Nothobranchius furzeri: one gene and its partners. The protein of the gene in region 2 interacts with the protein of the main gene of each other region in a biochemical or structural test. Links are inferred from orthologs where the notes say so. Each region holds a gene or a part of one and is shown on either strand. Other genes may lie near its edges.

Evidence for each region.
Region 1: the proteins of cbx5 (region 2) and lbr form a complex in vitro, tested with the Homo sapiens proteins (2 studies listed by BioGRID, with this or other methods). The link is inferred for Nothobranchius furzeri from reciprocal best matches to the Homo sapiens genes CBX5 and LBR.
Region 3: the proteins of cbx5 (region 2) and chaf1a form a complex in vitro, tested with the Homo sapiens proteins (2 studies listed by BioGRID). The link is inferred for Nothobranchius furzeri from reciprocal best matches to the Homo sapiens genes CBX5 and CHAF1A.

The regions. Positions count from the first base shown.
Region 1 is NC_091742.1:28,052,245-28,056,324, forward strand, and holds the start of lbr (delta(14)-sterol reductase LBR), read right to left. Parts: upstream 2,950-4,080; 5' UTR 2,466-2,949; intron 1-2,465. UniProt on the Homo sapiens protein: Catalyzes the reduction of the C14-unsaturated bond of lanosterol, as part of the metabolic pathway leading to cholesterol biosynthesis.
Region 2 is NC_091755.1:25,772,211-25,776,437, reverse strand, and holds the start of cbx5 (chromobox protein homolog 5), read right to left. Parts: upstream 2,817-4,227; 5' UTR 2,679-2,816; intron 2,209-2,678; 5' UTR 2,157-2,208; coding exon 2,029-2,156; intron 1,813-2,028; coding exon 1,572-1,812; intron 564-1,571; coding exon 463-563; intron 1-462. Other genes in the region: heterogeneous nuclear ribonucleoprotein A1, read left to right, coding at 3,765-3,776. UniProt on the Homo sapiens protein: Component of heterochromatin that recognizes and binds histone H3 tails methylated at 'Lys-9' (H3K9me), leading to epigenetic repression. In contrast, it is excluded from chromatin when 'Tyr-41' of histone H3 is phosphorylated (H3Y41ph).
Region 3 is NC_091748.1:48,277,667-48,281,316, reverse strand, and holds the end of chaf1a (chromatin assembly factor 1 subunit A), read left to right. Parts: intron 1-2,194; coding exon 2,195-2,504; intron 2,505-2,581; coding exon 2,582-2,663; intron 2,664-2,749; coding exon 2,750-2,862; 3' UTR 2,863-3,372; downstream 3,373-3,650. UniProt on the Homo sapiens protein: Acts as a component of the histone chaperone complex chromatin assembly factor 1 (CAF-1), which assembles histone octamers onto DNA during replication and repair.

The DNA of each region.
Region 1 (4,080 bases), on a different chromosome or scaffold from region 2:
AAAACAAAAAAAAAAAAACATTGCTTAGTGATTCAAAGAGCTTACAGATCACATGGCAAGATCAGTTTCATGCAGCACTTAAAGTATATTTGACTCATTTTACTTTACATCTTTTAGCTTCACCAGCACATCAACATCAGAAGTCACATCCTGAGTGGCGGTGAACTTCAGGATGGGATTCAAGTTCTTGTGTGAGCCTTGAGCGCAGCTTTGTTTTATTTATACTCATTACAGAGAAAACTTGCTCACACTGATAAGTTCATTTTTACTCTACATTGTAAAGTATCAAAATAAAGTTTACACAACCATCTCGCGGGCCGGATTTAACCTGCTTGCGGGCCGGATTTGGCCCACGGGCCGCATTTTTGACACCCCTGACCTAGACATTTGCAGCGGTCTCTAATAAGGAACCCGAGTCTACTCCCCTTCCGGTCGGCTCGTGGGTCCCTGAACAAGGTTCTGGTCTTCTTACCTTTACGCCCTCAATCACACGCGTTGTACTTCAATTTAAATGAAGTGTTTCGACTACATCTGTCACATAATTTGAGATTTATTTACGTGTAAAATTGCTAATTAAAATGACTACAACTCAGTAATGGCATGACGCCAGGATCACATCAGCTGTGTGTCGCGAAGTGGATCATTCACGAAATTCGCGTGCTGCCCACTGCTCTGTTCACGTCAGGCGAGAATTTTCTACGAGTGCTTTTGCTCATGCCTACTGTTTCCCAGCCACCTCTGCTATGTGTGTGTGTGTAATAGGATTGGGTAATTGGGTGGCGACTGCGAGCATAAAAACTTCAAACTTTCTTATGGGCCATTCCCATCTGTACCGGGTCGGCCCGGGCCGGGTAGCCTCAGTCGGCCCCAGCCTGGCCCGGTTGATTCCACACATCCTTGCCTTAAGCCCATGTGGGCTGATTCTACCCACCAATCAGAGGCTTGCTCTAATAGAAGGTGTGCATTTGCTGTCAGCAGTGGGTGTGTTGGCCCTGGTCGGCCTGAAGCAGACCCCCTCCAGAAGAGGGCTGAGAATGAGCCTTGGTTGGCCCGGAAAAATACCAGGCCACCCAGATATGTAAACAACCTACACTACCCGGCCCGGGCCGACCCGGTACAGATGGGAATGGCCCATTAGAGTCCCTTTAAAATTAGTGATGCACCGATATGAAATTTTGGGCCGATACCAATATTAAGATCACTGTTAGGGCAGATAACCGATATTTGCCAATACCGATACGCTGACATTAATGCTTCTAAAATCAGCATATTTTGTATAGAATGAAAACCATTAAAGCTGAATTTATATTATGTACACATCCCACACACATTTATGCTTCTGAGATGATTACAATCACTGTCACATGACTAAACAAATACACATCACCCCCTCACCCTCTGAAACAGGTAAACAAATTGAGACAAGATGGGAAAAATATCGGTTGTTAATATCAGGCTGGTTTTATTTATCAGACCGATACTGATGTTAAAAAAATGACTAACATCGGCCGATACCGATATTGATGCCAATACATAGTCCATCCCTTGTTAAAATGGCGATATAACTACGATTTGGTAACTTTGGAATTCCATAAGTATTTCCTGTTTTTATTTAGAATAATTTGTCACAAAATACGTTTCTGAGATGGGCTTTTATTTTGAAAAGAAAAGTGGCAAATCTGCGAACGCGTTGCGCCTCGCAGCTTTGCCACTTTACCGCCGCACACAGCTCCATCTTTTAATGTGTCATCAAACCCGCGCTCAGCGACGGACCAAACGACGTGCTGAGTAGTTTCAGTGAGCTGAAACAGCCCGCACCACTACACCAGCACTCCCTCCATGCTGAACAGGAACCTGACGCATCACAATAAAACCTAACGGTACCCGGGAGCTGTGTCTTTAACGGGATGCGCTCTCCGTTAGCCAAGTGGCCTTCGAAGGAACCTGACGCTGCCACAAGCAACACAAATGAAAGGAGGGAAAACGTCATGTGTTCAAATCCTGTCTGAAACTCCCAACTCCAGCGACACCGGCTCCTAAACGCTTCCGTATGCGGATTACCCGCGCGCTGAGCGCAGGTTACTACCAAACCCTCTTGTTTCTTATTACTATACGTTTTAACAGTCTTAAGAGGTGTGTACGCGCACCGTCTATTTAATGCACACTGTACAGATGCGTACGTTAACCTCATAGTGGGCAAATGGCCCGTTCAGTGTCGCTAACGTGAAAGTGCGCTTGGTTGAGACTTTTAAAAACATAATCAATTTAACGAAGTTTTTAACACACACATAAACCGTCGTTATTATATTATCACTTCTATTTCTGATAAGAAAATCTGTTGCGAGTCCAGGAATTAGCCCGAGCCCTGGCCGCCGTCAGGTTAGCACCAGCTAACCTTTCAACAAAGAGTTGAACAACTTGCTGTTTGGTAACAACGCTAATACAGTAGACGTGGTCGCACTTACCTGGTTTTGCGCCAATATGTCCAGAGATAAAGCGATGAACAATCATTCACAGGACGATGAAATAATAAATTAAGAGTTCTATATTTTTAAAAAGAACTTTGCTAACGTTTGATATACAACTCGGTTCTCCCTCCCTCTCTGGGCGAACTCACCAGTGACCAGGAAGGCGCGAAGCCTTCTGATTGGTTGGATCAGCGTTCATTTCAAACGGCTCTGAGCTCTGATTGGCTACTGGTGGATTTTAAAAGAGTCAGGATTGGTTTGGACTTGGAGACTCACGACCACCTTTGTTTACTGGACTCATATTAGTTTAACAAAATGGTTGTTTCTGCCTGCAGCGTCTTCAGCTTCAGCAAAACGATCTTTCTATACTTCCTGCTAGTTATTCCTTCCTTTTCTCCGACTGGGTTATTAAATGTTTATGATTTTTAAGTTTTATTCCAAGTTCCATCGTACTTGTCTCTCACCAGACCCAACCCTCCTCTCTGGTCCAGATGCTGAGTAGAGGACAGTGTCTTGTATATGTTTGAACCAGAGAGCTGCTGTAAAATCAAACCGCAGCGTCTCCCTGTTTCCTGTCTGCAGCTCAGGCTGCTTCTGCTCCTGCAGATGTTTGTGCCAGCGAAGCTGCACAAACATCTGCAGTTTCATGTGAAAAATAAAAATGTAATGATTATTTACATCCAGGGTCATTTATATAAAACAAACACATCGTGTATTGCAACTTTTATTGTATTTGCTCAGTATGCTAGCGTGTAAGAAAAGACATTAACACAAGACCAGTATGGTACAATGTAGATGACTAAAAACCCAACTAACTGCTATGTAAGAGGCACCCCCCATCCATCAGCACGCACCTGGCTGTATGGAGGGGTTCCCACCATCTTGATGAGGCGTAGCAGAACCAACTTTCACAGACAAAACTAGATTGACTCTGGATTAAAAATAAAACTAAGCTGCTGAACACAAACAGTCTGTTTTACATCTAAAACACTGCACCCACTTGGACTTCCAAATAGAAAAGAAGGATGACCTCAGCTGGATCGAACCTGTGAGCTGAAACAGCTCCACCAATCAGAGATGTCCCCTACATTCAAATAAAAACATGTTTATAAACGGTACTAAAAGTCTTTAAAACCACACGACGGCGATAAAAAATGAAGACAAATTAAAACCTGCATATGACAACAAAGTGTTATTACTCTGATAGCACGTGTTAAATGCATGTTGGGAACAAGGCACAAACTACCTGGCTTCACACAGAGAACCCCTCACCTGCCGCCCACCACACCTGTTTCCATATCTCCTGACAGAAGTAAAAGAGGAGACTTTGCTAGTGATGACGCTCGACGGGAGGCTGCTGGCTTGAATCCTTTGGTGATGGAGCCATGCTGCCCGTGACAGGCACGATGCTGGATTGCTCTGCGAGTTTCTGTCTTAAAGTGCAGTCATGTCAGAGAAGACACAGCGTCTGGCTGGTACTTCTGTTGGGGTTAGAAACATAGATTATGGCATCTGTCCACACAAACCCAGTCTGAAACCAGAGATGCCTGTGCGTGGTTCTGTCTGAAGGGGAACAGAACCTGGTGTTTGATGGGCTGGAGCAACATGATGA
Region 2 (4,227 bases):
GTGTTAAAGATTCAGGTTGTTAGACATTTAAGCTCATGATAGGACATCGTGCTGTGCTCTGGTGCAACAATTCTGCACCGTTTAACCAGTTCTGTTTTAGACATTTAATAGTTGAAAATGTAAGTACTTTATAATACTTAAGCATATTTCTTTGTCATACGAGAATGAATAGTAGTCCTCTTAGATCAAGTGTGTCTGAGATCCCCATACCCAGCATGTTTTAGTCATCTCACTGCTGCAATACACCTGAATGGTTGAATTACCTGTTCAGCAGGTCACCAAGCTCTACAAAGGCCTGTTAGTCCCCCCTGTGCTAGGTTAGCTTCTAATGTTTATGTCTGAGGAAAATTTTGTTTTACTACGAAATGGGTGCATTATGATTACCAAAGTGCATAAAAGTAAGTGCATTGTCATTATAACAGAATGAAGATCTCCCAAAATGAGTCTACCAGTAAAACTTACCACTTCATTAGAAACATGAGGTCTCCACACGAGTCGGTTGCCCCAATGATCTTCTCTGGCTCTAGGCCCCTCTCAAAGCCACGTGCAACTAGGATCTCATCCTGAAATGTAAAAAAATAAAAAATAAAAAATTAAAAATGCCAGCTGAATATTTGCCAAAGGGCTATTTCATTGGCCATAAATTCAGCAATTCTAAACACAGGTCAAATCTAGATATAACTTATATTATTTAATAAGTATAGGTGTTGCCCATCACCTGCCCATAAGTTAATGCATTATTGGTAATTCAAAAAAACAATTTATCATTTTCATCTCAAAATTATACATTTTACAACATTTAGCTAAAATATAAACAGTCTTTACAGAAATCAGTTCAGAAGAGCTAAGTACAAATGCTCCCACGCATACAAATGATTCATATCAGAATGAGTGCGTTTACATGCAGCCAGTAACCCTTTTAAAACCCGAATATTCACAATAACCCGGTTCCGCAGGTCCTTGTAAACACCGCCAAAAACCTGGATATGCTCATAACCGGGTTTTTAAAAACCCGGTTACTACACCTGGCGTAACCCTTTTCTAACCCGAATGTTTGGTCGTGTAAACGCATACCGGGATATCCCCATCAAAGCGTGTGTTCTGCACATGCTCTGTTCGCAAGGAATCTTGGTCTTTTGAGTAGCGAGACGTCTTGTATGCGCCAGAACACCGGAAGTAAACAACAAGTTGGGAGCAACATGGCGAGTCGCGGCACAGCACCACACTTTCGCAGTGACGAAGAAACTAAAGCACAAACAAACGCGGTCGCCGTCTCTTCCGAACTGGGAAACGTGTTGTTGTTTTCACGGATACCGGAACAAGAAGAACCGGAAATGAGGCATATTGCGTCTGGACGTAGTCCATATGTCTTGACGCTACCCCACCGTCCGCATTTAAATCGGGTTATGCAAGTTAGGGGTAACTCTTTCTATTTATTGTAAACGGGCTTGTAAACGGGTTATTCTGATCAACTCAGAAACCCGAATACCGACCTTAACCCGATCATAACCCGGATATTGGCTGCATGTAAACGTAGTCAATGAAATTCACCTATAATGAAGATAATTTACCTCTTTCTTCTTCTTTGGCTTACTTCCTCCTTCCTCTTCTTCCTCCTCTTCATCAGAGCCCTTCTTTTTTAAGCTGCTGGGATCTTTAGTGCGTCCAGATGAGCCTGTGCTTGATTTACTGGCCCCGCTGCTAGGTGTCGAACTACCACCGCTGCTGCTGCTTTTCTTATAGGTCTTCATGAACTCTGAAATAAGCTCAGGGCAGTCTAGATTCTTCTCTGGCTCCCATGTGTTGTGCTTGCTGCAGAAAATCACAGCACAAGTCATTGAAATGTCACGTTCATTTTTAAAAGGGTAATATTGTGTGCTCAAACCAGCTTCACTGATGCTTTTTGTGCTGTGTGTGTGTGTGTGTGTGTGTGTGTGTGTGTGTGTGTGTGTGTGTGTGTGTGTGTGTGTGTGTGTGTAAAACGGGAATATCAAGTCACTGACCAGTAAACAGGTACTTGGTACTTACTCAGAGTATCCTTTCCACTTAAGGAAGAACTCCACCCTGCCTTTCACCACCCTCCTGTCCAGCACCTTCTCCACAACATACTCTTCTTCATCAGATGAGGACTCCTCTTCACGTGACTTTTTGCCCATCTCGGAGTTGGGTGCTTCACACTACACTCTTTTAGAGTTCGATGGCACTTTCCTGTTCACGACGAAATCACAAACAAGCATCTCACAAAACATGCCATTTTTTCTCAGCGCTCGTCCACATGTAAACACATAAATTTAAGCTCAAGCTGCAGGTTTGCAACCATGAGCGTTAGCCACACAACGTGGTTACCGTGCATCAATGAATATCTTCATTTAATCTCGTTCTTCCCACTAGCAGAACGATAAGCATGGGAAAACTGCTAATATAATGGCCATACATGTGCATTTCTCGACATATGCCCGTTTGAAATAGTTATATGCGACCAGACTGCACTCACAGAAAACGAACAAAGCACACAGTTCAATGAAGACCAAGGGATTTGTCCTGCTAACTAACCCCAAACTAGCCAAAGGAGCTAGCTTACGTGCTAAAGCTATGCTATACTCGCTAATTTACTTATCAAACAACTACCCGATACTTGCAACAGCGTAAAGCACATTTACAAAAACGCAGTTTCTTACCCTCGGAGTGTATAACCCACTGGATGTAGGCCGCTGGTCGCAGGGACTGCTCCGTTTATCTAGAGGCAGCAGTGCAGCTAATGCAGCACCAGCGTTAGCATCTAGCCTGTAGCACATAAAGGTGCCGTGCGCAAAAAGCGCGCGTTAAAAACGCACAATGAACATACCCGCCCCCAGTCTGCTGGTGACATAATAAATGTTTAGAAAACACGTTCCTTCCTACTAAATTTTAACTTTTCTATAACGTTAACGTTCGGTTTATAAAATTGTAGTAACTTGCAGTCACAATAATTTACAAAATAAGTATACACGATAATACAAAATAAAAAAAAACACAGCATAAAGGGTTACAATTATTTGACTGAAAATAAAGAAATTAATATATATACGTCTACTTTGTTGTAGTAATTTATGTTTTCATATATTTTTCGTTTAAATCTTGCTGCATTTATTTATTTCTCTATGTTCATGTTATTTTCCCCCTTTAGTCACCACACACAAAGCCCAGATTAACTAATTTGGCTCATTTTAAATTATACTTTAGCATAAACTCTTCAAGAGTTGTACATTTTGCATCGGTTTGTTTGATTACGGGACATCTTGTGTACCAACATGCGAATGATATTTCCCGTGTTGTTTAGCCAGACGGCAATTTGTCTATCTTTTATATTGTTTATTGTCTTTCTTAGGCTCGTTTCGTAGAAAAAAGTTAATAAGTCGTTTTTTCAGCACCTTTTAAATGTGAGCATTCAATTTCTCTGTCAATTCAGATAATTTGTTTATAGATGAAGGCACATTCATTTTTGGCTTTATGTAATTTAGGTCGGCCATTTTTCTTCATGGTCGACAAAGGCGAATGCCTACTACGCAGTGAATGGTTGTTCGCATTGATTGACAAAATTTAGACCAATCAAAATACAGTTCTGATTGACGACACAGTACCGCGGGAACTACAGACCAATCGCTGAGGGGAAGAGGCGTTTCCGTTCCTATTTCTTGTACGTTCACCCTGTCGCTGGTCTTGTCTGACGCAGCTAGTTCCTCTGCGGTCGGTTCTCAAGGAGTCGTCAAGGATAAAGCGGCAAAATGTCTAAAGAGGTGAGTGCTAAACTTATCAAAGGATATCAGGCCGTAAGATTAATAGTTTGGTTTTGGGTAGTTTTATTATAGGTTGGCCATACTTGGTGTTGTCGACGGACTGTGTGCCGTAGCTGCAGAGCTTTCTTGAAGCCGCCATTTTATAGAAGCTGAGCCTCGTGGCCTTTTGTTCTGATGATGATCTGTAAAGGACATCAGTGGCTTCTCTTCAACACCAGTCTTAAACGATTATATCCCTAACACATTAAACGACAGTGAGTACATATTAATTGTGTGTTGGCTCTTTGAAAGAAGGAGTTCTTTGACTTTAGTCTGAGCGGTTCCTAAACTGTAATGGCGGCGGTGCGCCTTCTCCACCCTATCCCTGATTTTTGATCAAAGACGCAGAGTTTGATATAAATGGTCCACCGACAATATTATTATGCGGAACTATATTGTGCATTGCTTCTCC
Region 3 (3,650 bases), on a different chromosome or scaffold from region 2:
GGCAAGATGCAGCCCTCGGAAAAGACAGCAGCCTGCTGTCAGCAGGTGACAAGCTCCTGCGCTCGGGGGGGGGGGGGGGGGGCAACGCGCTCTGCCAGACCGTAGGTACTGACACGCGATCGTTCATGTCGGTTCATTTCCTTTAATGTTTTCTGTCTTTTATTTGCGCCTGATGTGTTTCGCTGCTGTGGAGCGGGGCGCATCACCTTGTCCTCCAACGCACCGATCACTGATGCGGCCACCAAGCAGCGAGCACTCCGCTGTTTTTGCGGTCGGTAGATCTTTTAGAATTGCAGTTCAAAGGTAACTCATGAGGTGAATATAAATGAACCCAGGTAGCAGTTTCTCTTTAGGATGGAGAGGAGATGCAGGAAGATAATAAACAGACAGGACAGAAAAATAGTCAAATAAAAACAAGTTAGTTTTTGTACCTGGTGGTTGCAACAAACAGACACCATTGAAGGTAATCAGAAGTGAGGAACAGAAAATGAAATAATTATTTTAATGTTTAGAGCAGCAGGAACTCTGAAAGGCTGCAGGCGCATCAGTGAGTTTGCGGCCGCTATGCAGGGGGAGGGGGGAGAGAGTGCTGAAGCAGAAACTACCGTTGTTAAAAGAAATGTGTTTAACTTAGAAAATGTGGGCGCAATATTAATTGTCAAAAACTCCAGCGAACCATTAGTTCATTTTGCTCAAATAGAAATAGAGGCCTGCCTCTAATACTGGCCCTCCTTCCAATAAAGGCCTGGAGCTTGATGAGCTTGAGTCGAATACAGGCCCAGGCCTGTATTAGAGGATTTACGGTAAACCAAATTAATTTCCTCCGTTAGTCCACAAGTCTTGCATCTACAAACCAACATATCATATTCCTTCGAATGCGTCTTTTTAGTGGAAGTGTCCGCCCTGGAACTGGGAGATCAGGGTTCAAATCCCGGTCAGGTCCTACCAAAGACTTTATAAATGGGACCCAATGCCTCCCTGCTTGACACTCGGCTTTAAGGGTGTCGGATTGGGGGGTTTAAACCACCAAGTGGTTCCTGAGAGCAGCTGCAGCTCGCCGCTGCCCTCGGGCATGGGTCAGATGTGAAGATGAATTTCACCGGTGTGTGAGGACTAATGGGACTTTAACCTTCTCTAACAGTTTTTATCAAAAGCTGCGAATGCTCATTGTAGCTTCAAACGTTTACAGCAATGACCCTGGTGTGTACGCTTTTAATCAACAACTCCACTGATGCAGCTGGTGAAGAGTTGCCCCATTTGTTGGGGTAAAACCTCTAACAGTAGGTCAACAGTGCCACACCCAATTCTCACATAACTCCAAAAGTGCTCCCCACGTCTGGTCCTCAGAGCCCACCCATGTTTTCCACGTCTCTGCTTCAGCACACCTGATTTTAGTTTTCAAACTATAAACTCTGAAAATGTCAGTAGAAACACACAAACGTGTTGCTCGGATTGAAGTTACACGCCACTACTATCTTCTGGTGTAAAGTAGTAACTTTATGAGGGATTATATTTGCAGTTGTGGCTCAATAAACGCAATATTGAAACTTTGGCGCTTAAAGGGTTGATTTTACAGTCCGCCGCAGGTCTTTCAGTTATACGGCTGTACATTTATACTTTATTATTTAAAGTACACAAGTGCGGTCAAGTGAAACATTTTAATGCATCTTGTGCCTTGTTGTTATGTCGGTGCTAAATAAATATATCCATGGTTTGGTAACTGATTAATTACAATGCCTTGCTTTTAGTGAGGTTTAGTACACCTCTTAGCCAATGTTATGGTTCTAATTCTTGACTTAATCATTTGTTTCTGTATTTCGGTATTTGGCCGTGGTTTCCTCACTTTGGGTTTTGGTGTTTTCATTTCGGTGCATCCCTAAATGAGAGCAGACAGCACAGTGGGCCCTGAGGACCTGGACTGGACAACTCTGCTGTATAATGTTGATTGGTGCATCAGATATCCAATGAAATCCACTGTGAACAATGAGTACAAACGTGATTGGTGGATTGCTGCGTGCCAGCTACCCGTCACCGTTAGATGAGAACGCGTTGAGGACCAGCGATCGCGCTCTCCTACATTCCAGTGTTGATGCTCAAACGTAACCTTGTGCAGCTCTAACTTTGTCTTCAGCAAATGTAAACGTTTTAATATCAGCCATGTGAAAATCTAATTTCATCTTCGTCTTTTGACCAGAATTCTGCTGAGGCGTCTCATCAAGAACAACGCTGTTTATGAGAAGCGCTCCTCCTACAGGCGCTGTTGCTGGTACGTTCATGCGGAGGTCCTGTCCCGTTTCGGCCAGGAGGCTCTCCCAGTTCCGTGCCAGTGGACCTACCACACCACAGGAGCTCGGGAGGAGTTTCGTGATGAAGCCCAGGCAGCCACGGGCTCTCAGGGAAACTCCCCCTCCACACCTCAGACCTCTTCTTCCTCCAACAAGCGGAAGAGCGCCGGCAGCATGTCGATCACAAAATTCATGAAGAAATGTTCCAATCCTGACCAGGTGAGGGTTTTTGAGCGGGTGAGTCACCTTCAGGTGGGTTTTCATTCACTGACTTTATTCCTGTTGTTTGAATCCAGACTGAAGCGACGGAGGCAGACAGTTTTCAGGCTGACACTGAGGAGGATGATGATGAATGTGTCATCGTCTCGGCTCACACTGGTGAGATACCTTAAGGAAATCGTTCTTGCTAACTTAACATGAATGTTGCCTTCCATGATATAATTTTTTTTTACTTGACATTTTAGACTCTAAAAATAAAAATGCAACTGTTGCCATTGACAATCTAATGGAGGCAACCCCCTTGGATTCAGCTGCTCTCCCCGAGGGTGGATCTGCTCCGACTCTCCCCACAGCCTGAGGACAGGACCGCACCGCACCGTGCTCGCTCCTCCTCACCTCCTCATCCCTTTTAAAACCTTAAGGAAAATCGAGGCACGCTGCATGTAAAGACAAGTGTTCAGCTCTATATTTTAAGTTCTACCGTACCACTCGCCTCGTGTTCTAAGGTATAGATCACTTGTTTTTGGATAAAAGCAGAGCAAAAATGATTTCTCATAACAATTCAAAACATCAGGAACACCATCATTTTACAGTTTTTGAGAATTATTAACAAACCCACTGGTTTTCTTTTGATTTAATGTAAATAGTTCATCACACCTCGATGCTGGGAAACAGGCTCCATGTCCACCTGTACATTCGTCCCTGGTTTCATTTACTCTGCCGTGTCTGACAGCTCACTGGGGTAGTTGAGAGATCTGTTCTTGTACAGTTAGTGTTGGTGTTTTATAAATATGTATTTTCTGTATTTTTCAAGATTACTTGAACAAGATAAATTCATTAAACGTGAATAAAAATTCTGCACCTTTAAGGCTCCTTTCATGGTTTAACCCTCTGGAGGCAGGCGTTGCAGATGTGCAACAGTTAAAACCTACCTACCTGGTTACTCCACACACGTGTTTCATGAACATTTTTAACTCAGAAGAACCGCTGAAGGACTTCGTTGTTCGTTCTTTTATCAAAACTTATTTTGAGCCTGAGAGGGTTAAATCAGGTGAAGGTATTAATACAAAAACTGGCCTCATGTTTCTGTTTATTGAAGAAAATCCTCAGTGGGGAGTATTTTTTTTTATCACAAGCAGGTTCAGA